2 linked regions of the Oreochromis niloticus genome follow. The protein of the gene in region 1 interacts with the protein of each later gene in a biochemical or structural test. Links are inferred from orthologs where the notes say so. Each region holds a gene or a part of one and is shown on either strand. Other genes may lie near its edges. The genes, in order: ubr5 and polyadenylate-binding protein-interacting protein 2.

What was found.
Region 2: the proteins of ubr5 (region 1) and polyadenylate-binding protein-interacting protein 2 form a complex in vitro, tested with the Homo sapiens proteins (2 studies listed by BioGRID and IntAct, with this or other methods). The link is inferred for Oreochromis niloticus from reciprocal best matches to the Homo sapiens genes UBR5 and PAIP2.

The regions. Positions count from the first base shown.
Region 1 is NC_031976.2:6,486,581-6,499,147, reverse strand, and holds the start of ubr5 (E3 ubiquitin-protein ligase UBR5), read left to right. Parts: upstream 1-6,169; 5' UTR 6,170-6,321; coding exon 6,322-6,383; intron 6,384-10,243; coding exon 10,244-10,288; intron 10,289-10,411; coding exon 10,412-10,493; intron 10,494-11,026; coding exon 11,027-11,103; intron 11,104-12,567. UniProt on the Homo sapiens protein: E3 ubiquitin-protein ligase involved in different protein quality control pathways in the cytoplasm and nucleus. Mainly acts as a ubiquitin chain elongator that extends pre-ubiquitinated substrates.
Region 2 is NC_031966.2:9,428,169-9,440,863, forward strand, and holds polyadenylate-binding protein-interacting protein 2, read left to right. Parts: upstream 1-7,968; 5' UTR 7,969-8,129; intron 8,130-8,386; 5' UTR 8,387-8,388; coding exon 8,389-8,529; intron 8,530-10,849; coding exon 10,850-11,029; intron 11,030-11,820; coding exon 11,821-11,886; 3' UTR 11,887-12,557; downstream 12,558-12,695. UniProt on the Homo sapiens protein: Acts as a repressor in the regulation of translation initiation of poly(A)-containing mRNAs. Its inhibitory activity on translation is mediated via its action on PABPC1.

The sequences.
Region 1 (12,567 bases):
ATTACCATTAATGTCATTCAGAGTTGTACCAAGATTACATTTTGTTAGCTCCAGTGTCTTGTGTGTAAATCACATCCCTACTTTGGTGCAAGGCAGCTGTGTTTGAATCATTTCACCTGACTGGAAGAAGGTTCAGATAGTTTGGTGCTTAAAGCAACAACAATATATTTAACATACTAGTCAATGACGTGAATAGGCTACATCTCTTGAGTCATTTTTTGTTTTTTATTTCTTCTCAAATCTCCCCCAAAATAGATATATATTAATCTGACTGCTGTTTAAATTAGCAGACCCTTGTCTTTTGTGGGAGGAAAGAGGTCAGCCAACAGGAGATGGCCTCAGCCAGCCCTGTGGATTAGGTAAGTGTCAGCTGTCTAGACCTTCCTGCACAGCACAGAGAACCGGGACAAAAGGCCGGTTGTAGACACACAATGGGGAAATACACACACAGACACACAGCCCATTTGACTGTGTCTGGCATTGTTGGGATGTTCCTCAAAAGCATATTTGCTGGAACAGAATAAAAGTGTGACCATGCAATGCATAAAGATTTCATTCATAACTTTCTCAAGCTCCCTGAAACTTGCATCCAGTGTCTCAGAACTATAAAAAATATGAATTAATTATTTTCTGATCAGTAATCCAACTTATAGTGCATTGCAACTGGCCAATCCACAGCTCATCTACACAAACCGTGTTTGCATGTTGAGTTTATTGCAAACAATTTAAAGATGAAAGATGGGGGGAAAATAATGAAGACTTCTGTTGTACACAGGGGTCTTCATTATATTAGAAATGTATGATAAATGTGGTACTCTCTAAGGTGGGTGTACTTTGTGATTGACAAGCAGCTGCTGCATGAGCATGCAGTTCAATTCCACCTCATCCTTGGTTTGCAAAACAGCTCAGCTTAAGTGAGAGGTTATGGCATAAAAGAGGATCCTGTGGCATGTTGTTGGTCTTTAACCAATCATAGAATAGCTCTTTAGAGCAGAGCCTCACAACATGTGTATACAGTTGTGCAAGTGTTACGACCAGTGCTTCATTCATGTTATGACCTGACCCCTAGATGGCAAGTGACAAATGGATAACTGGAGTTTGCTAGCAGGGGTGATTTCCACTTCGACTAGATTACCAAGGACTTGGCGTTCTCTTTAGATGTTTCAGAAATGGATGTGTTTCTATGTCCAGAAAGAGACTACTCACTACGTCTGTTTATTCACCAGCCATATAGAGACCAATATAATGCCATGTAAGCTGTGCAGAAATCCATGATTTTATGTAGGTTGTGCACAGAGTTTGTGCAAAATCCTTCGCCGCTCAGCACCCTTCTTGAAATCTCCAGGCAGTCTTTAATGGGCAGTTATTCTGAATCATTATAAAGTGAACTTGAACTTTAATGGTCACCGGTCAAATCAGGTGAAAACCGCTTAAAATAGTTTGACGACTGTGCTCCAAATAAAGCACCATCTTATCTCTGCTGGTGTGGGATTTTCTCATAGATTACATTTCAGGACTGGCTGAATCCTCTTTCTCTCTTTTTATATAGTTTTTTTGGTTTGTGCAGGCGAGTGCATGTTAAGAGGTAGAGCTACATTCTGTCCTTCCCTAGTCCTGCAAAGATATGCTTCTGCCAGCACTAAGAGGAGTTATTTTAAACTCATACTCTTCAGCTATTGATCATGTTACCCCAGGCAGCTTGTCTGGGTTCACTGATGAAAACAGCCTAGTTTTAAGGTGTAACAACTGGAAAACCTCTGATTATACTGAGTAGGATATCTTGTCTCTAGTGTCTCTGTGTGCAATAAAACTTTATTCATTGAGTTAAATTTGCAGCCTAAAATGTGCACACTTCCTAAATCCCCAAACCCACTAACCTTTCTCTGATGATAATGCAGTTTTCTGGCCCTGACTCTTTGTACCCATATTTAAGAACTCCCGGGGTCATTTAATAACCCAGCACCCTCCTACCTAAAAATAGCTCTGGTTTGTTTGTCTACACGCTTAAAAAAGGGTACAGGGTGTTTTTTTGGAGCAATGGCCTTGGCTTCAATAACCTCTGTGTTGAACTCAGTAAACACAGATAAAACTTACGCTCTTCTCTCATCTGGTTGGTTGATGTGGTGCATACAAACTTGAAGGAGAACGTATGATCAGATAATCTAGTGAAAATATGCTCACTTACATCTGCACTATTTCCCCTTATTTTAATAACATGGTTTAAATGTTTGCGAAATCAACAGTCATTCTTCACAGACGCTCGTCTAACACAAAGGCCACTGTAAGACTTGTGTGACTCGCGTCTTCTTCTTTATGTTACAACTGACATTTTAGGAAACATTTCCTCGGTCGAGCTGCAGATAAAGTGGACTGCAGGCCAGGGTAGGACAACATCCATGTGGGTCATTTTGAGTCAGATGGTTGCATTTCTCTCTGCGAGAGCTGAGTGGAAACTTGTGCTGTACTTTGCAGATAAAAGAGGAACCTGACTTGGAGGAGAAGTGCAAGTCTTTTTTCCTCAACATGCTTCAATGGAATTCGGCAGGCAAACTCTTATTTTCAGTTCCAGCTTTGAAGGGCGATTCTCCATGAGCTTATCAGAATGCATAAATATCCTGAAAAAACTCTGCAGAGTTTGTGTGTTAGCAAATAATCAGAAGAGCAGTGCAGGAAGGACAGCTGTCATTACTACAACTGTCTCACATTATTATCAAAGGTAAACCATGCCACCTACTGGTGAGATAAACTGCAGTTTTGTGAGATTGTACATGTATAACAAAAATATGAGTTGGAAATCATTGTTTTGCATAGGCTGTTTTCATTTATTTATTTGTCTTTTAACAATGCATTTTTTTGGAGGGGACAGGAAACACAAAATCTATATTTCAGAAAATTGGAAAATTCAAATCTTATCATTTGCACCATGCACTGAGCAGAGGTTCATTCACCCCTCCTCTCCCTAATGTGGCCATCTCTTGACTATAGCTCCTCTGCTCACATCCATGACATGCATGGGTCAAGAATTAAGCTCTGCTTAAACTATAGTTTCCTTTTGACAATGTTACATAATGGTAACGTTGTGCTTAAATTAGAGTCTTCTACTTTTTCTTTCTTTCAAACAACAGAAAATTATTTCCTTAACTCAACAGGGCTTAAATAGACTGGGAATACCGCACTAACACAGTTTTCCATGGGAGGAAGATCAGCTGTGCACAGACTCCCAGTGGTCTTCCATTTATAGAGCTCAGGTTTTAGGTGGTTCAGTTTGAAATATAAACCAGTGTAAGAATAGCAGCAATGATCTGAGGGTCATGATTTTTTTTTTCACTTTCTTTAACATCTGTTTCATCTCTGCTGCCACAAGGACAGATACGACTAATGTGGTATGAGGAGAAGAAAAGTGGAGTTCCTGCTTCATACACTCAAAATTAAAATATGCCCAAAACGCTGACTTTAATTTGATATAATGTAAATCTTACAAGTAATTTTGTTACATAAGTGCTATGTCCAAAATAATAGCACAATGACATTTACTTGATTAATGTACATTCAGTTTATACCAAGTATATTTTTCTTAATGATTAGATATTTTTAAAAGATAAACATTTCATTTTATATATTTCAGTTGCATCTTAATCAACATTATTGCTATGATTGAATACATTTTTAATGTATATTTACTTTTACTTTATTATACAACAGACATTCCCCTGTAGTGAGATGGATATTCTTTTTAATGTTACTTAGATACTACTTACATAAATGCGTATTAACTTATTTACTTACATTTGTCACTTAATTAGCTCTTCATCTTTATCTTTTATTGAGTTCTTTCTTTTTTTTAATTTGGGAGCTGTCTTATTTTATGATCTTGCAGCAAAAATTTCTGGCATAACTTCATCTATTTCCAAGGTGCATGGAGAGGATGAAAAGCTCACAAGGCAGGAACTCCAACAACACTTAAAATGAAAGAGGAGCAACTTTATTGACTGTACAACGCGTTTCGGCTTGTGGCCTTTATCTGGGTTTTGTTTTATGATCTTGCCCAGATTTGGGGAGGAATAAAGTACATCTGATCTTTTATTACAAATAATGTTCATTATATGCCAAAAATAATGGTTTAATAGTAAGTGCTGGTTGGTTTTTTGCATATTTAGTTGTTATATAGCAAAAACTGAAAAAACAAACATAGGATTAAATATACCTATTTCCAAATGGATTGAGAGAATAATCTGATTTTGTTTTTTATCCCTGAGCAGAACTTATGGAGGTCTTTAAAATGTAGTTTTGCAATTATTCTTATTTAATTTAGTCATAATTTTACTTTAGTCATAACAGATTTATACTTTGCTATTATAAATCAAAATGCTCCAAATATCCCAACAAGAAGGCCCATGGGGCCATGTTGGAAGTACTTGTTGGAAGTACTTTTGAGTAATAAATAATTACTTATATAAAAAATCATAATTTTATTTTCAGATTTTGATGTTGCTCTTACTGACACTAAATTAACTGGACAAATCACAATTTTAAACATTTTTCAGAAACATTATATTTACATTTCAATACAACTTAGACTCGGGCAGCTTGCAAAATTACACTGACAACTGTGCGGTGGTTGGATGTATTGGGAGTACAGAGCAGTAGTGGACGGTTTTGTGGAGTGGTCTGGGAGGAATCGTCTGCTTCCGAGAGATGGTGATTGACATTAGAAGGAAGAGGACAGTCACACAACCCAATCCTGCGACAAGATGTTGATGTGGTGCCAGAGTGCAAGTACCTGGGGATCCACATAAACAACAGACTGAACTGGAAGACCAATAAAGAGGCCATATACAAAAGGGGATGATGAGGCTCTGTTTTCTTTCAGTGTGCACAGCAAATTGTTCGAGATATCAGTCTGTACTGGCAAGTGCAGTGCACTTTGCTGTGGTCGACTGAAGGAGTAGCATCAGAACTGGTGACACCAGCAGACTGAATAAAGTGATTAGGAAGGCTGGCTCTTTTGAAACTGTGGTGGCGAGGAGATCACTGAACAAACTATTATCAGTTTTAGGTAATCCTTGACTGCAGCACTTAACTAGACAGGAAGCAGAGGAGCTTCAAGGAGCCCATTCAGATACACTCTTATTACAGAAACGGGAAATCTTTCATACCTCATGCTATCACTCTATATAATACAATTTATCTATCTAGCAGAAAGACATCTGATATTATTATTAGTAGTAGTATTAGTATTATTTTGTTGTTTTTTCATCATCCTTTCATTTGATTTAACTCAAGGATGAAATTTTGCAAGTAGGGGCAAAGTATACTTGTCATTAATGTCTTCATTAATATTTTATTATTCATAAATATTGTTTTAAAAAACAGGCGAGCAAAAGCAAATCGCAAACAACATACAAGCAAAGAATTCAATGCAGTTACTAGTTACAGGCGCACACGTATACATAGGCCTGCATAACCACACGTGTTCACAGGGAGAAAATAGCCACATTACAGTGGACGCTAGCAAAGAATTCAAGTTGGGTAGCTTAAACGCTAAAGCTAATAGTGCTAGCTGTTTAACATTATTATAACAACAGCAGTCCATCGTGTTAGCCTTTTAGGCTGACATTAATACATTTCTTACCACTGATTAGTTACCGTGTTATGTATTGTACATACCTTTTTTTTTTAACTGAATGGCTTTAGAAATAATATTTTATCTATTATTGAACATTTTGACTTGGAAGCAGACAATAAAGCTAGAATAATGACGCAATTTCTAATAGAAAAAACTATACCGCTTGTAACTGCACAAAAGGCACAAATTTGTGCTGCTTCTTTTTCGTTGATACTCTATTTTAAAACCAATTGTCTCATCTTTTTCTATTCTATTGTTCCTGCTTTTAAAGAGATAACCTCGCAAAATTTAACCCCTTCTTTGACCTTCATAGTGCTTTAGTGAACATATGAACACCTCGACTGCCTAACAGACAAAACAGACTAAGATGCAATAGGTGAACTGGATTAGAACAAAGCCTTCGGAGTGCAACGCTTGGCTTTTTGTTACAGATGTCTTTCTTCTCGAGGCCAGCCCCATCCAATTTTTTTATTTCCTGTTTGTGCTAGAGGTCCAACCAGCGGAGCGAGTGCATGTGCACTAATCAACACACACAGAAGAAGCTGGTTAGAGCTAAGATGGCGGCATGTGGGTGAGGAGGCTGGGATCTAACTCGAGCTTTTTCGCCCTTAAAAGATTCCTATGAATCCTCATATATACAGTAATCGAAAGAGTACCCATTTCCACACGTCTCGTTGTGATTTTGGATTGGCCCAATGACATCTATACACTTCGTGGTTCACCCGTTGCCCGGGACCGAGGATCAGCTCAATGACAGGTATTTTGTTGCGGCCCGTGGAAAAAGAAGACTTGAAATCAATATTTATGTGCGGGCAGTGTTGCTTAGTATTCGAGTTAGTATTTGTGCTCGATGTTGACATTGTCATGTGAATGTGTTCGGGTTTAAATTATTTAAATGACCCCCCCACCCGGGGGGTAAAATGAGGCCCGGCATTTTGAGGGATCCTTGTTAGCTTGCTGCTACCTAAACAGAGTCATTTGCTAACATGCTAACCTGTTAACTGGCTTTCAGTCGAATAGCTAACGCTAGCTGTCGGTTTCCTTGGTTCTCTGGATGGATTGGCTCTTAGTCAAAGTTGCGGGGTTGGGGGATGGGGTAAAGAGAGGGTATTAAAGGTCGTAAAAACACAACTTAGTAGAAAATTTAAATCTTTTTCGTGTGCAGTTACCATATACGCTCTTTGACAAGTGTCATTGTTTGTTTTGCGAGCGTCTTGTTGATTTACCGTGATCTATGCAGCGGCTAACGTCAGCTTACCGATAGCTAGCTGCTAATGCTAGCAAGCTAGTTAAGTCGCTACCACGCTCTTAAGAAAGCCAAATATTTGCATTTCAGGGCCTTTGTGGAAGGCTCTTCTTTTTCTTGACGCTTCATTAAACATTTAATTACTAACATCGTTTGAAATTATGTCACCGCTTGTCTTCTTTTAGCATTGCGCACTGAGATAAATATCTAAAATATGCAGCGAACTACTGTTAGCACCATTGCATTCAAATTAATCTAGTTATTGGCTTTAATAAGGTGGCAAGCCAAGGCTTTTAAAGTTTACGGTCTGTGTTGGATTCTAAATTGTCCTGAGTGCCCACACGCGACATTTTAAGTCTTCTCACTGTTGCCTTAATACAATGTGGCACTGCACAGTGTATTTGGCCACATACTACATTGTTGCTTGTAACAAAGTGCTGGTATGCATCACTCTGACTTTATGGATTTTTGGTTCTAGACTGAGTGTTCAGGAGATTGTTTACGACCCTTTTTTGGCAGAACATGCGATTTATGATAAAACTATTTATAACACCCATTGAGACTTAACTGATTAATGAGCTGCTCTACTTAAAGACAAAGAGGTCAAGAAGTCAAAGTGTTTTTAGAATGACCTTGAGATTAAATACTGGTTATGGGCACGGGAGGATTTAAGCATCCTCTGTTGGTTGATGTACTGTCCAAATCTGCGGGGATCAGCTTTGGTCTGATTGACAGGAAAGCACAGTTTGCTCTTGATGGTCAGAGGCACCGCTGAAACATCTTGATTGTATGGACTATTCCTTCCTTAAAAGAGGTCAGGGTTTTTTGATCCCCAGGCATGCATGTCATTGCATGCTGCTGTCACCATGTGGTGCTATCCCCCCCCCCCTTCACACCCCCTTGCTCACTCTCTCTCTGTCTGTCTTCTATGAACTTGCAGTTGTCAAAGCAGATAACTGCTTCTATCTGACATAAAAAGTCTTAGTCCAGCTTCCCTAGCATGAATATCTGGTCAGATTTCTTTGTTTGACCTGAGGTTTGCTTGCACACATTCATTTAGGACAGTGAAATGGCAAATGGCATTCCCCTGTAGTGAGATGGATATTTTATGTGGGGGGGGGGGGGGGGTTTCTGCTGCAGTGAAACAGTTTTAAATGGCTCATTGAAGGGAATAGACTTGTCTGTGCTAGGGTACTACCATTTATTTGATGGGAAGGTTAGTGAATGGCTGACCTGGATGCTTTGTGAGTCATTTTCTCTTACTTTTTTGCAGTGTTAGGAGTGAAGCATGAGCTTTTAATATGTTGTGTGTGTGACAAGAATTCTGCCTGTTCTGTTTTTTATGTCCCAGTGGTTTAGAGGCATTGGATGTAATTTAAAAATATTTCCTGTTTACATTCTACCTTGCTTTTGATAGCTTTCTAAAGGGTGGAATTAGATTGCATATTTTCTGGCTTTTTCTGACATTCTGCATAAACTGTGCATCTATTTTAGTACACAATTCTTTTTTGTATGTCTAAGTAGTGAGATATATGTGATTTTGTATGTTTGGCCTTGACAGTAACATGTACATTGTGATGCTTTTTTGTTTTTCTCACATCTTGGATGCCATCACATCACCAGTGATCTTTTGCACTTAAGAATTGAAGAAACTGTACAATCCAGACCTCGTGTGTGCTGAAGCATGATTGGATAACTGCATTTCCTTGATTGTGTGAGGTGCAAATGGGTTTCATGACATGAGACAAACACTTCTTCATAAAAGACACTGATAGTCTAAATAAGTATGGAAGTTGATGTCTAATTTCTTTCTTTTTCTGTGCTGATTTTCAGTGGACTGCAGCAGCACACAGTTAGGCCACCTATTTCAGAAAGTTATAAAACAGAGTATTAAAAGTTTACAGCAATCCTTGAATGTTTCTTTTTTTTTTTTAACCAATTAAAAAGATTATTTTGGACTGGCAGGACAGACAACTGCTTTTCATTGTGTCAGTGGGAGATTTTTTTATTTTATTTTTTATTGTCAGGTGGTTCTGGGGGAAATTCAGTATCTGTTTTCTATTTGGACCATTTCAGTTTCTCGTTGACACCATGTAGGGCTAACCATGTGATATTTTCATGCCATCCTCACATTGTTGTTACTAGAGATTGCAGATAGAAGATTCAGTTGCCTGCAGACAGCTGGATGGTGGTCATGACTCATCTTAAATGTCAATATAGGCAATCTTACAGCACATTTGTCAGGATTGTCAAGTGGAAAAGGGACCAAAAATAGTTTGCTTTACACTTAAGGGCAACTCACAGCAAAGCTTGAAATAGCTGTTATAATTTCTTTTATATTTTTTTTAAACTGCTTTGTGTATTTGATAAAAGGCATGAAGCAGTGAAAATCAATGAAGTGTAATTTTTTTCCACATTGCCAGTAATGATGGGTTGCGGATTCATAACCTTTGAACTATATAGTACATTAAAAACTGACTGAGGCTCAGTTTTCCAGGCGTGGATTAAGCTTAGTCCCAGACCATAAACTTAGTTTTTAATGAAGGTTATTGAATTTTCTTTTAGCCTGGGACTAGACTCAAACCATGTCTGGGAACTTGCTGAAAGGTATTTAAAATGCATACTACAACTCTGGCTTTTGCCACTGGCTGATATCTTCCTATGGGATCGTCCTTCTTAGAGGAAACTTTGGAGCCTAACAAAGAGCCTTTTAGCTACAGTCAAACAAAAATCAACAGAACTATAAGAGAGAGTTTTTACCAGTTTGTAACCATTCATTAATTTAAGTATAATATATATTTTATTCTCAAATAGTGAGAAATTAAAAGGTAACACTGAGTCATTGCATTGACTCTGGACAGTCCAACAGGCTCTAGATGCTTGCTGCACATACATCATCACATACAAGTTCCCACAGATGTTTTGTCAGTGCTGATCAAGAACATTTATTTTTTGTGTGTGTTATTAGCAACCTGTTGTGTGTCATACTGTTTTAAAACAAAACAAGTGTTTAACATGTCATCTTTTATCTTTGGCTTTTTTCTTGTCTTGCTATATGGTAGAAAAGAGGTTTTGTTTTCCTAGTTCCTAATTGAATTAACAAATTGTCCTGAGATCATTATGATCATTCAGATAATTTAAAAAGATGCATATATGTTAAAGCCTTCTGAAATGCACCTATATTCTTCTTGCTTTTAAAAATGTTTTACAGTAATTTGTATGCAAGTTAAAAGGGCTTGTATATAAACAGTAACTCATGTTACAGCATTTCTCTCAGTATGCTTTTTTGACTCCCACACAGGAACCTGCATTGAGGTCTTAAATTGGTCTGGGTGATATGTTAATGTAGTTTTGTTTTGTTTTTTTCTCAGACTCCGTGAAGTCTCAGAGAAGCTCAACAAATATAGTTATAACAGGTGAGTGTGTATCTGCGTTGTATTTTTAGGTGATTTTATTCATTGTGATCACTTATTGTAAACATTATTTTGCTTGCTGTCCTGTGTGTCGGCTCACTTTTTTTTCTTTTTCCTTTAATGCAGTCATCCACACCTTAGTCTGCTGGAGCAGGCCACCCTAAAACAGTGTGTTGTCGGTCCAAACCATGCCGGATTTCTCCTTGAGGTAATGCTATAAGTCATCAAATCAAACAGCTGCTGATCTGCTGCCAGGTCACAGTTATCAGATGCCCTCTGACTTTGCTGTACAACATGAGATAATATGCTTCAATAGATGTAGATATGGACTAGGGTTTTTTTTTAAATATGTTGTTAATATTTATCATAATTCTGCAGTTGGTGCAGCTCAGTTTGAACAGTGCAGTGACAAGTCATTAGTTAGTTGACCTCAGTTTGTATTTTGCAAGTGGGTGAAAGATGCTCAGCTGAAGTGTTGAGTGTGTTTGTTCATGTCAAGCTGATACCACATTATGATGATGTTGAATTATAGATAGCACTGTACAGCACCATGGTGATAAATGAGTTGGTATGCTGTAGTTAACGTGCTTATTAATTATCTTAGAAAAATAGTTTAAAGAAAAGACTGTATTTTACTCCGTTTTGTTTTCATTTCCGAATGTAATAAATTAATGTAAATGTATTTGTTTTCCCTTTTTAATTAATGTAATACATTAAAAGTCACTGTTGCGTCTCTTTCAGGATGGACGTGTATGCAGAATCAGCTTTGCTGTCCAGCCGGATCGCCTGGAGCTCAGCAAGCCGGATGGCAGCGATGGGTGAGAGACTTGTTTATGATGGGATCTGTCCCAGGAAACCTTTTTAGCTTTTAGCTTTGGCACTGAATTGGAAAACAGATTGCTTGTGGAAACGTCTCATTCAAGATGCGAGGAATATGCTCAGGCTTATGGATCTTGGTTGCTGTAATTTGAATTCTAGTCAGTACTTATGCCCTTTTTGGCGAGTATAACACATTTCTAGCATATTACTGTGGTATTGTCTGTTTCAACAAAGATTTGCTCCAAAGTCTTAAATATACCTAAACTGCTGTTTGAATATCAGATGCTCTTGTTTTAGTTTAATTCAAATCAAATCTTCTCAGTATAGCTTTATCTTAGGAATTTATTTTTTGTACCTCAAATTTTAAAAAGAAAAAGCTTCTTTTTTTTTTCTTGACACCAATAGACTAAAAACATAGCAGCCCTAAAATTGTTTTTGTAACTTTCTGAAAGCCAGTTCCCTTTTTGGCTGAGCAAGTGTGTGCCATTTGCCACAACTTTTTTTTTTTGTTTGTATGTTTCTATAAAAATACCTTTTCACTAGCTGCTTTGTTTCTCGTTGGCTATGAACATGAATTTTGGTGAGTGTCTCATTGATAGTTGTTGATGTCCTGCCAGCAGAACAACATCCAACAGTGATTTCATATACTAGCTGTTCAATATGCATGCGAGTCGGGCTGTAAGAGACTAAGGAGCCCTCTGCTCCAGATTTTGCTGTAGAGCATATGTTTCGTTCCCTGCCACAGACTCGCAGAACAACAGGACATGGCTTAGCTATTCATTTGGCACTATTGTGGGTTGTTGGGAAGCCCGAAGAAAAGAGCCTTGACAGGTTGTCTTTGGGAAGTTTGTCAGCATACTCAACAAACACATTTGTGTGGTTTTGAATTGTAATGGATTGTGTCAGCTTGTTGACTGCTGGATTGAATTTGTTTGCTTTTATTATATCTGAATGATTTGACTTTCCTTTTCTGTATTCTATTTCCTTCTGTAACAGTGTAGTAATACCTGATTATGTTATTTTGTTAAAAGGGTTTGTTTTTTTGTTTTTTTCTTCATTCAAAAGACAAATTATACAAATGTACAACACATCACTTAGGAATATTGCAGCTAACTACTTTTGTTTAAACTCATACAACATTACATTACATTATTCAATTATTAGGAGAAAGCACTCGCAGCCCCAAAACCCAAGAACTTTTAAAAATAGAAAGTCTTGATGGAGGAATGAGTTGCAGCCAATTCTGATTCCCAAGGGTGTTGCCATGCTAGTCTCCAAAATACCCCCTCCTGTTTCATAGTTCAATAATGAAATGAATCCTGAACCAAGGGGTGTAAATTAACTAATACCTGGGGTAAATTTACTTTGTTAACCCAGGTTATAAAGGTAAAAGAAAAAAAATAGGATTTTTTTGGTTTGTTTGTTTTTTAGTCCTTTTGGGACATCTGTAGGTTTGTAACTGA
Region 2 (12,695 bases), on another chromosome or scaffold:
GTGTGCAGTCCAGTTTAATTTCAGGAATCACTTTTGGCTTTAATATTTTTTTTTTCATCTTTTTTGTTTTCTCACCTTCTCCTCCTCTTTCTTCTCCTCCTCCTCCTCTTGTTGAGCATCCTCAGACTCCTCTACCGTCTCCTTCACAGACTCTGCTCCCTTAGGTTCGTCCTCCTTCTCCTTGCCATCAGGTACCTGCTCCTCCTTCTCCTCACCATCAGGTACCTGCTCCTCCTTCTCCTCACCATCAGGTGCCTGCTCCTCCTTCTCCTCACCATCAGGTGCCTGCTCCTCCTTCTCCTGGCCATCAGGTGCCTTCTCCTCCTCCTCCTGGCCATCAGGTGCCTGCTCCTCCTTGCCATCAGGTGCCTGCTCTTCCTCCTCCTCGCCATCAGGTGCCTGCTCTTCCTCCTCCTCGCCATCAGGTGCCTGCTCCTCTTCTCCGTCCTCCCTTCCTTCCATCACTCCTGACACTTCCTCATCCTCGTCGTCCTCCTGTATTACCATCTTCACTTTGTCCTTCTCCTCCTCTTCCTTCTTTTCCTCTCTGCTCCTGGAGTTGGAGGACTCGGCTCTGCCATTCTTCTGGCTCGAACTGTCTCCTCCGCCCTGTTTGTGCTTCACACTGTATGAACGAGTGTGTATGAGTTTAAGCTAACATGTGTATCCTGACATATATACACTGTGTTAGCAGTTAGCCAGCTAACACCACCTCTCATAACGAGGTCAGAGATGATGTTCGATTTCTAACTTTTAATCAAAGAGTCGGGTTTGCTCACTGGCTAATCTGGAGCTACTTCTGCTGACACCCTGCTGTTTTCAACATGACGTCTGCTATGATCTACGAAAGCTGAAATATCATGGATCAGTTGTGCTGGACCAGTTTAAAGTCTGTGACATGGAGGAACAAGAACAAACATTGGTTTGTTTGTCCTGTCACATTTCAATACAAGGCCATTTTAAAAGGGCATCTAATTCTGACAATATTCATAATACGCACACTTTCATTAAATACGCTAAAGTGTTTGTCCAAAATAATAACTGAGTGGTCTGGAGGGAGCTTATGAAAGAGTTTATAAACATGTCTTATGTAAAATGACCTCCAATGCTTAATGGTTTCATTGACTTTTAGTTCTTTCAGTAGAATAAACCTCCAGTCACCAGGTCAGGTGACTGTCTTTTATTTCATTTGTTTCCCACAACCTCCAGTCCAAAATGTTGTATCTGTCTCTTTCACTGCATCTCATTCATGTATGTGTTTACAGTTCCTACACCAGGTCATGGTAGCAGTGTCTGAAGCCGGGTACTCACTTGAGGGTTTTGTATTTGGTGCAGATGTTGAGACGGACTATTCTCCCATTGAAGACGAGGGGGTTCTGGGTGTAATGCTTCACCAGCATCTCTGCATCCTCCACAGCTGCCAGCTGAATAAACGCCTGGACACACAGACGAACACAAAAGCAGCCATCATTCAAACTTACTTCACCTTATCACAGGCTATACTCAGCCCAATCTGATCTCCACACTTTCTGTAGTAATGCTGGCATCACATCAGCACTCAAAGAGCAGCAGTGTTTCCTGCTCTGGTTTATTTACCCGGTCGGTTAAGAAGAGGTGTTTCTCAACCACACCGAAGCGTTCGGCGAGGGTCAGCAGCTCCTGTTTCTTCTCGTCCTCTCGGGGCAGGTGGTAAAAGAAAACCACCTTGCTGCCGTGACTTTTGACCTCTTTCTCAGGTTTGTCTATCGTCCGCTCCACCCGCCGGGTCATCAGTTGGTCCCCTGGTCGGTCCACCGGCCGCTTTGTCGGTCGGTCCATTAGTCGCTCGTCTTTCTGCGGGTTAGAAACAGAAACTTCTTAGGATCTGAGTCTGTGGGGAAGCGGCGAGTTTTATTTAGCGAACGAGGGCGATGTTACCTCGATGAACATGAGGGTCTGGGACAGGTAGAAGGTGACGGGTTTGCCGTACAACAACAGTGGATGCTGCTGGTAGTAGTTCACCACGTCCAGAGCTTCTTCATGTGTGCTCATCTCCAGAAAAGCCTGATGGTCACAAAGATTAGACTTCAATGCTGAATTCAGTTTTCCTCAGAGAGGTCTGCTTCACGACCAGTTTCACAACCACGTATTTAATGTTGTTATTACTGGATTATATTCAGACTTCTTTGAACTCCAGCTATCTATAGTCTCTTATCACAAGCTCGATCTGACTCCATCTCCACCATCTTGGACTGCAGCTGGTGCCAGCAGTCCTCCTCCTGGTGTGGAGATCCTCTGTGAGTGGGTTCAGCTCAGCGAGGCTGCGAAGGAGAATGAGGACTGCCAGCTGCAGTTTCAGATTGAGGAGATGGAGTTCATGTGGATGAAAGAGTCACTGGTGAGGCAGCTGATTGTAATGTTCAGTTACATTTATGAAGAAGAAAGTTTAACTAATGTTTACATCTAAGTTAGAAGTAACTGAGGTGGAAACAGCGAGGTGAGTTTTCCTACCTTGTTCTTGAGGATGAGGTGCTCCCTCAGGCAGCCGAAGCACTCGGCGAGGGCGAACAGCGTCTTGTCGCTGAGAGGCTTCCTTTCATATTTCACCACCACCACCCTGCTCCTCAGCTGAGGACACGACACAGTCTTTACTGAAACCAGCTGAGCTCTGCAGAAATAAGCTGATCCGCAGGAAGAAACAGCAGAGAGACATAGGGGATCAAACTCACCTTATTCTGTCCCAATGGACCGGGACCACGTCCTCCTCCTCCTCCTGACACACAAACACACCGATGTTTGCACATGAGAAAAGACAGATTTCAAAAAGTGTCTGCAGCTTTCCGAGGGCACTAAACAGCCGGGTCTCTTAACCCTCACCCACTTTTTTTAATGGCTCTCTGTATTTACTATACCTGAGCTTTTTAACCATTTTTATCCCAAAGTCAGCAAGCTTGGCATACAAATGTAACACTGAGCTCACAGGAGAACCCGACTTGATCGGTTGGAAGTTAAAGACTTGACGTCAACTGTCTGAAACCATCTTTATGAATTAAATAGTGACTCCCCACACAGAGAGAAAGTGATAAATGACTTAAAATAATCATGAAGTACTAATAGTATTAATAGTGATAAAATAAGACATCTGTGGGTCCCTCACCTCCACCCCAGCTCGAGGACATCCCTGCCATTGGTCCTGAAGACATGGGGGCTGGTCCCAGCAGTCCTGCAGACAGGTTGGGGGTCTCCCAGGGACGACCACTGGAATTAAAAACATGTGATCGTCAGTTATCAGACATCTAGATTATTAACACACAACACAATCAAAGAGATGGTTTGTGAAACCTCTGGAGGCAGGAAAGTTTCTGAATCTTTAAAGTTTTTCCCACAAATAAAATTTATATTCATGTATTTTTTCCAACATCTGAACAGATTGTAAGTCAGCTTAAAAAAAATGAAACTCTCAGACTGTCTTGGTTGTTTCTAACAGCCTGTGGAGGGATTTCTACATGCTGGATTTATCTAATGAAGCCCATCTGACCAAACAGGAAGTTGCCTGTCAGGTGTACAGTATGCTTGCTGCTCTCTCTGCTGCTGTGCACCATACATGACATACAATGCAAACAACAGAAAGACAAAACAGTGCAGGACAGTCTGTTTGTGCATGGCTGTCAGTAATAACACTTTTCCAAGGTTACGCCGAGGTCCTTTAGGACTCTAAATCTAACATCTCAAACACTAAAGGAGGAGCTTAATGTTAGCATCTCTTACCCTCTGCCTGGGCCCATACCAGGGTCCCACTCTGGATACCTGAAAAACAACATTCAGTGTTACACATCTGATAAAGAGGAACAGACCTCAAAGGGGCATTTAGTCAACACCGATGAGCCAGAGGAGCATGTTTGCGTTGGTTTGGGTCCTGAATCTCTGCAAACCAACCTAATTTGTTCTGATGTGAACATGCTGTTAACAGATTCAAAACATAATCTGTTTTGGCTCACTGTTGTGTATTAAGAGCGACTCACATGTCAAGAAGCTGCCGTCTGTTTTCAGCATGGTAGAGGCCGTTAATGTGTTGGTTCCACTCCTGCAAACACAAACAGAGCATTACTGACACTCAACAGGCTGTTTCTCCTAAAATACAACCTGTATATTAAAGGAACAGTTCACACAGGTATTAACCTTCATAGCGTCATCCACACAATCACTTAGGACCAGATTTACTAACAAGTTAAATGCAGTTCATCGGGTTTCCATTTTAAAACCAAAAATTCATGATTAAGATCTTTTTAAGACCTAGAAAAACTAATAATTCATTATATTTTGTGTGCAATAATCACTATAACAGACAGTATTTGATACTTTTTTTAAGCCATCAGTGACAGTCATACAGGCAAGAAGAGCTCACCCACATATCATCAAACCTGCTCACTGTGTGACTTTGGTTAGTAGGTTACTAACTTCCTGTTGATTTTTGGTAAATTATGTTTGGTCAGCATTGAAAAAAACCATGTGCGTCCATGTTAAAATTTTTTGCTTTAAAGCCAAAAACTGTACATTTCTTCTCAGAGACAATTTAAATGTCCAAATTCGAGTGATAATCGATTAAATCCTTCTTTCTCACTCCTGACACCACAAACTGAAGAAAAACAAACACAAGACCCCAGCTGCCAAAAGTCTCACAGGTTTAAAAGCTGCCAATTCGATAAGTCCATGAATGTGTGAGGAGCTTCAAATGTTTCATGTTGGAGACACAAGGAGCAAATCAAGATCCTCCCAGGACTTTGTTAAAGCTAATGAAGTGAAAAGATCAAGTAAATCAGACTGAATGTGTAACATTAACAGCTTTACCAGCTCATGTGAACAGATACTAATTATAAAAAGAGATTTTTGCTTTGATTGGATGACCCCTGGAAAGATCCAAATCTAACTGTTCAATGCTGGAGAGCTTCAGCTGAGAAAATTGAGAGAGGGAACATGCTGTGAGGAGATACAACAAGGAAATTATATGAAGTAAACCGGACCTGAATCAGCGCCTGTCACTGACTGAAGGAAGACTGGAGCTCAAACATTTACAGTTAGTCCGAGAAGAAAAGAGGAAGCAGGTTGGACGTACTCACCATGGTGGAATGAACGTCAAAGTCACAAAGAGAGCACACGTGGGGGAACATGGGGGGCATGACTCCCAAGAAGTCTTGGACTTTTCCGTTTGACGGGGAGCCCATCCTCCTCTGCATAAAGACGGGCTCAGACGGGCCCATGCCGAGCCCACCGCGGTGGGAAAGCTCAGAGTATGGCCTCTCTCTGCTCCCACCTCCACCGCTGTAATTTAAGCCGTAGCCCCGGCCGGAGGAGACGTCCTGCAGGGAGCTGTACCCAAAGTCTGTGGAGGACTTGGCTGAACCTTGTCCCAGAGAAGAATTGCCCATCCTCCCCACGTGCCCCTCTTCCCAGCTTCCTCCTCGATACGCAGCATCAGAGGACATGGCCGCCCGCCGCTCTCCTGCTTCCCCCTTGCGGCTCTTCAGCTGCCTGAGGATGTGTGGCAGCGTCTCCACACTGATATCCTCCTCAGGGATTTCAGCCAGAGCGTCCAGGTCAGAGGGCGACAGCCCCAAACTGGCAAACAGCTTCATGGTGCTGCCAAGATTGCTACTGCTGCCACCGCCGCCACGTCGGGGCATCTGCCCGCTGCCGTCCTGGCCCTCCATGGCCATGTCCACACCCACCCCACCCCCATTGGTCTGTTGGGACGCTGCTCGTTCATGCTGAAGTTCAAGGTTTCTGCAGCGGCCAGGAGCCCCCTACCCACGGTGAAGTGTTTCTGAGCGCCGTCAGCCTGCGTCTTCTGAGACATGATATCAAAAAGTCTGTCTCGCTCTCTGGATTCAGCACAGAGAGCCAAGATAAAGAAGGAAACAGGCGCTGGAAAAGGTCTTCAAAGATGACAGGAACTTAATGTGGTCAAAGTGAGCAGGAGCTCCTTTTCTTCTGTGGTGGCAAGTCTTATTTCTGCTGAGACACAATGAGTTAGAAAAAGCTTCAAACAAAGCCTCTCCTAAGAAAACAGGAGCCAGTGGAGGCCCTGAGCCACAGACGGAGGAGCACGACTCTGATCTTTACTGCAAAGGGAACATAAGAGGCGGTTAAAGGAGGAGGGAGAGAAAGATTCACCTCAGCCCGGCAGGAGGAACATGACCTGATGCAAACAGAGTGATGGAGACCTCCTCACTGAGGAATAGAAACTCTGAGTCAATGGAAACATCGACAAGATGCGAGATTACAACGAGCCTCTGAGTGAATCACAGCCTGACACAGACCAGGAGTAACATCTGTGCAGGTACAGTGAGAGGAGAAGGAAAGCTGCAGCAAACACGCTTTACGGGTCGAGCTAACAGCTAAGCTAGCGGCGCTATCATATCTAGGTTGTTTAACTTGACATGTTAACTAAAAGATTAAGTACGCTGTCATATATGACAAAATGAAACCAAAAACGACTCAGATAAGCTGCGCAGCTAACTTTGCTAACATACATCTCCTCCTACCTGCTAACACTAGCATAACTAACACCCTTAAGTTATCTGATATTTAATGTGCAAACTGTGCATGAAGCTGTTAACTGTGAATTTACGTGTATAATATCATTTATCTGTAATTACGGACACTCTTACCCTTTCTCCAACACCCGAGCCCAGCTGATTAGTAAATAGCACGAGACAGGTGACCAAACTGGAGGACGTGAAATATCGCGATATTTCCTCTCCTCCTGCACCAGGCAGTGTTTTTGTTGTTTCTGTTCGCTGCTGAAATGTTTTCTATGAAAATAACTATTAACACAACACACACTTAGGTCCTCCATATTAATAATTTCTCTCAGGTTCTGTTATTACTATAGAGGATATGTATTTGGTTTAAAAAATGGGTTTAGGTTTGTTAAATCAGTGGATTTTATAAACTTTCGGAGGAAGGCAGGCTTTCAGAGTTTGGACTACAATGCTGCTTTCAAGGTCGGAAAAGGTGCCAGCACCTAACGTGATGAAAGCCCTTCTCAAATTGAAAGAATTAGATCAAATTACAAAACAAAGAAATATTCCAGTGAATATAGTACTTTGTTTATCTGGGCGTGAGTGGGTGTCCAGATAAAATAAACAGCTACACAAGGACTGCTCAGACATGGACTTTCTTATCCTAGGCAGATTATAGTTGTATAAAAGATCAACAAACTTTTTATTGTACTTGTAAACCCACACAGAATAGTTATTTCACTGTTTACTTTTTAATACAGACAACACTGAAACCTGTCTACACAAAAGAATCACAACACCTACACCTACTGAACCTTTATCTTTTGGCTGCTCCCTTTATGGGTCACCGCAACACTCATCTCCAACCACTCCACCTCACCCAGTGTGCACGCTCTTCTTCAGCCCCCTTGTGCAATGTTTATTGCTTTAGATTGTTGACTCCAATTAATTAAACTCATCAACCTTCACTATCTGAGCTATTTGCATGTACACATTTTCACCTGTTTCCTTCTCATCCACATGCATGTATTCTGTCTTGCTTCTACTGACTTTTACTTCTCTTCTCTCCAGAGAATACCTCTCTTCCACCTGCTCCCTGCTCTCACTGCAGTTCACAATGTCATCTGTAAACATAATAATCAACAGAGACCCATGCCTGTTCTCTCGAATGAAAACTGTAGCTACATCAATTTAGAGAAGTACCCCGATTATTCTAAGCTGATATTTATTCATGATGTCCAGTGATCTACTTACATTGATGACTAAATATAAAAAATAACAAGCTAAAGTGTAGCGTCGATTATAATGTGTATCCAGACATAAAGTTCTTTGGATCGGTGCACTGTGATATTTAGTGAATGAATAAAAAGTGAAATAGAGACCCAGAACACATTCTCAACCTCTGGTATAAATAACGTTTACCTTGTCTGGTCTTCTTGTTAGATACCTATTTTCCGACGTTAAGGCGTGAAGTCCATGAAGGCAACAGGGCCTCGACCAATGAGGAGCGAGCGCACGGTGACGGCGGAGATGTAAACAAACAGAAGCAGCGCGGCCATTACAGCAACAACCGAGTTCCAGCAAGTTGACCGTTTCTCTCTTCTGTCGTCGAATAAATCACCCCCGAAGGTATTGTTCTTCATAAAAACACAGCTGCCCGTTTCCCCGTGCTCCTCTAACGCGGTTGGGTGCTCGTGGTGGTGTTTTCGCGGGGATATTTTTCTGTTACTGTTGTGTTCTCGCCAAAAATTATTCGCTAGCTGCTTGCTATTGTTGTCCGTCATACAGCGGCCATGACAGCGAGCATCATAACGGCCGAAGCTACGTGTTTGTTCCCGTTGACCTCTCTCCCTCTCCCTCACTGTGTCCTCTGGTTCTCCTTGTAGACATGAAAGACCCGAGCATCAGCAGCGGGGCCCCGAACATGACCACCGGCACCGATGTGATCCTCACCAGCCAGTTCAACGCCGAGGACGACCCGTTCGCCGAGTATATGTGGATGGAGAACGAGGAGGAGTTCAACAGGCAGGTGAGGAGCTGGGCCGAGGCTCACCTGGACTGCAAGTATAAAAATCTGCGTTTAAGGCGGAAAAATGGTTAAATAGTCTGAAATTAAGTTTATTACGGAGGAGGAAAAGTCATCCAAAAACACAGCAGGCTGATCCTTTAAGGTAGAACAGATTTAGCTGGAGTTTAAAGAGAAGTTATACCTCAAACCAGTAGCTACAGAAAGACTCAGTTGACTGTTAAGGTGGAAATCTAATGTTTGAATAACAAGTTCAAAGATTAATTATTGCCTGAGATTACAGACTAGTTATCTTTTTATTAACTATTGTTTTATAGATACATTATGTCCAATGTATGGTGGACTCAGATAACTTTTAAGGTGGAAATCTGTTTTTCAGTTTACAGATTACACCGAGAAATTGTTCTGTAAAACACGTGTATGCAGACAAATATAGCTTTCCCTTTTAAGATCGAAATCTGTCATTTTCCATACAGATTACACCTCAAATCTGTATTCTTCTACTTAAAATGAAAGATCAGCATCTGCACACGGACTCCTCTGACTGCTTTAAGGTTTGACTTGAGGGTGATTTATTTTGGGAGACAGACAAGGCGTCTGAAAAACACTCCAAGATGAATTTTTAAGGTGGGAATAAACAGATGAAGTTGCGGATTTGTTCATTTTTATATGAGCTCAGTGAGCTCAGTTTCTGAGGTAGAAATCTGCAGATTAAGATAAATTGTACCTAAACAGTTGTTTTTAGTTGTAAGCAAAGATCAGTATCTTCAAACAGACTGCGTCAACTTTTAAGGAGGAAATCTGTTCTTCTTTTTATAGACTGCACTCACGTTGCTCTGATGTGAAGCTCCCATATGCAGATAAAGCAGTATGTTATGGTGTAGATTTCTGCAGACAGACTTTCCTGGTTGGATTTGGAGGTTTAAGGGAAACTACATGTCAGAATTTTGTTGTTTTAGTCAAAGTGTTGCAGTAGAATTCAAGTCTGCTTTGCTTGGAACTAAAGATCAGTTTCCATAGATAGACTTTTAAAGTGAAAATCTGGGGTTTATGTTACAAGAAAAAAATAGCCTTAAATTGGAGTTATTTATTTGAGAAGTATCTAGAAACATATTCATTTTTAAGGTGGTAATGTGAATATTAAGTTGTAGTTTATTGAGATTAAGAGAGATAAAGTGAAATTAGGTTGATTTGATTTGAAGACAGGGAAAGTATCCAAAAGCATGATGGGTGACTTTTTAAAGTGTATATCTGTAAACATCTTTACAGGTTAAACCCAGAAATTGTGCTGTTGTACATCTTGTATATACAGATGACAAATATTAAGGTAGAAATCTGGACTTTTAAGTTGAAGATAAAAAGAAACTTTGTATGTTTACATACAAACTCAGCTGATTTTGGTTATTAAGGTGGAAATCTGTTTTTCAAAAATAGTGATTTTTACGGTGAAAATTTGCACTTTAATGTGAAAGTATGTTGGTCAGCAGATTAAATAGAATATTTCCAACACCTGTGTTGTTCAACTGAAAACAAAGGTCATTGCCTACAGATTCACTTTTTTAAGGTGGAAATCTAGGCTTTTGTTTACAGATTAAAGGAAGGTTAACGTTCAGAAATTGTGCATTCTTAAAAGTAGCTGTGATTTTAAGGTGGAAATTTGCAGTTTGAAGGAAAATTACACCGAGCAGCTGAAGCCTGTGTGCACCACAAAGCAGCAGCTCCTTGAGCTGGAATTCAGGTCAGGCGGTGGCCTGATTATGCAATCAGCTGACAGCGTGTGGAGTCGGTTAACAGAGGAGTAGGTGGGAGGCGTCCGGTTGGAAATTTCCATAAGGATGTTTTGTTTGGAAAAAGGAAACTGAGTCCGTGGAGCTGTGTTTTAGAGAGCGTTACGTTTCACAAAGGAGGGAGGACAGCAGCTGCTGTGTTACTTTAACTCTGTTCTCTGTTAAACTCTTTGAATGTTTCCGATTTATATTTGTAAAATCAGCCGCTCTGTTTCGAGTAGTCGTCTCGTTGTGATTGGTCAGGTGTTGCAAACCCCGCCTCTGCCATGTGAACACGGTCATTGCTAGATTAGGAAAGCCTGGGCTTACTTATTGAGCTGCTAACCAGCATCATCTTAGCCAGAGAAAGAAACAAGGATAACTGGATTAGTAGAAGGGGGTGCAGAGCAGATTCACCAGAAGAACATTGTAGCATCTCCCCTTAAAGTGTTCTCTGTGTGATTTTCGCTCTCGGGTTGGATGACACGTTAAAAGTTTTGGTTCTTTGTTGGTCCAACAAGCGGTGACATCTGCTTCTCTGCGTGTGTTTTCGGCAGGTGGAGGAGGAGCTGTGGGAGGAGGAGTTCATCGAGCGCTGTTTCCAGGAGATGCTAGATGAGGAGGAGGAGTGGGAGTGGTTCATCCCGTCCAGAGATCTCCCTTCTCAAAGCGTCAGCCAGCTGCAGGAGCAGATCAGCCTCCTGGTCCTCGATGGTGACAAAGACCTGGATGTGGTGGTGAGTTTATCACCTTTACCATCGGTTACAGAGAAAACTGGTGTTTTGGCCATAAAAATAAAAGCTGTCAGCTGACGTTATTCCAACACATTATAAAAAAAACAGTCTGCAGATGAAAACGATTATCTGCAGTGTGTTTTGATGTTTTTGCTTGAAGGAATGATAAAACTTTAAGAGATAATTAAATCTGAGGTCAGCTCTGCAGAAGAGCCAAACAATGAATATTTTACCCAGAATTCACTGGAGTGTTAACTTCTTTTTCCCCCCCTTTTTTTTAAGTATAAAACATTTTTTTAAGTAGGCCTGATTATGAAAATGTAGGATTACAACAAATATACTCTATTCATCCCGAATATTGGTAAATCCTGTTACAAGAGCCAAAACATTAAAAACAACCACTAATAAAATAAAATAAAGTTTGAAAAATAGAATAAAAACTACACAAATAATTTAGCATAGTCAAATGGAAAAAGATAAAGGACCTCAGTATGTAAAAATCTGAATTAAACATGTGTAAAGCTGAATATGATACAATAATGTGTAAAATAGTGCAATAAAAAATAATGAAATCATTAATACAGGAAGAGCTGCTGAGTGAGACAGCACAGTGCCTGAACGTGTCTGAAAACATCTCCACACTCACTGATTTCTTAGGTTTTTTTCTTCCTAATTAGTTGATTATTAAATTAGTCTCTGACTGTTGACCCTCATCTGTCCAGCAGAGGTCGCCGTTTCTTTATTTTCTTCACAGAAATAACAATGACGGTTTTTCTTCTTCTTCTCTCCTTTAGGTGACCAGCAGCTTGAACCCCAATGCCAAGGAGTTCACCCCAGGCATCCAGAAACACGCCATGTGACCCGGCAAGGCTCCTCCCTCCCCCTAACCCTACTCCGCACTGTGACATCATCACCAAGATGTCTGCTGTATTTTCCAGCCGCCACTCGACCTTCAGCCTGACGTGTTGCCAAAGTTCTGCGCTCGCATGTGTTCACAGTTACAGTTAGTTTTGTGTGTGTGTGTGTGTGTGTGTGTGTGTGTGTGTGTGTGTGTGTGTGTGTGAGTGAGTGAACTCTCTGAATGTACATCAGCTGAGAGGAGTGTTTGTATGACTCTAAATCAGAACAAACTGCTTCCTGTCTCCACTTTAATTATTATTTTTGGGGCACTTTTATAAAACCTGAAATCAAACCGTGTGCTTGTTTTTTTTTGTTTTTTTTTTCTTTTAAAATTCGACTTCCTGTTCAGAGGGTCGCCTTCGCCGCCTCGTGGCGTCTAAAAGCACTTTTCCGGTCGTGGTTTGTTTAGCTGGCTGTTCTGCTGTTTCTTGCTCTTTTTCCCAGCATCCTTGGCGTTTCTGTCAGCTCTGACCTGTCTTCGCTCTGCTGCCTACATCAAATAACTCGTGTTGACTTTTTTTCTAAATGCACAGAAAGTACTGTATAAAAAGTCGTATAAACAAAAACAATGTAAAAAAATCTATTTTTTCTTATACTACTTGAAATAAATGTTTATGAAAGGAAAAAAAAAGTGTTTGTTTGTTTGTTAATAAAAAGCATCCACACAGCTACGAGAGCATAAAGGACTGGGCAAAAGTCTTGAACCAACCCAAAAGTGCAACAATCAATTGAAACATGTAAACATACATGGAGATGCAGTATATGATTT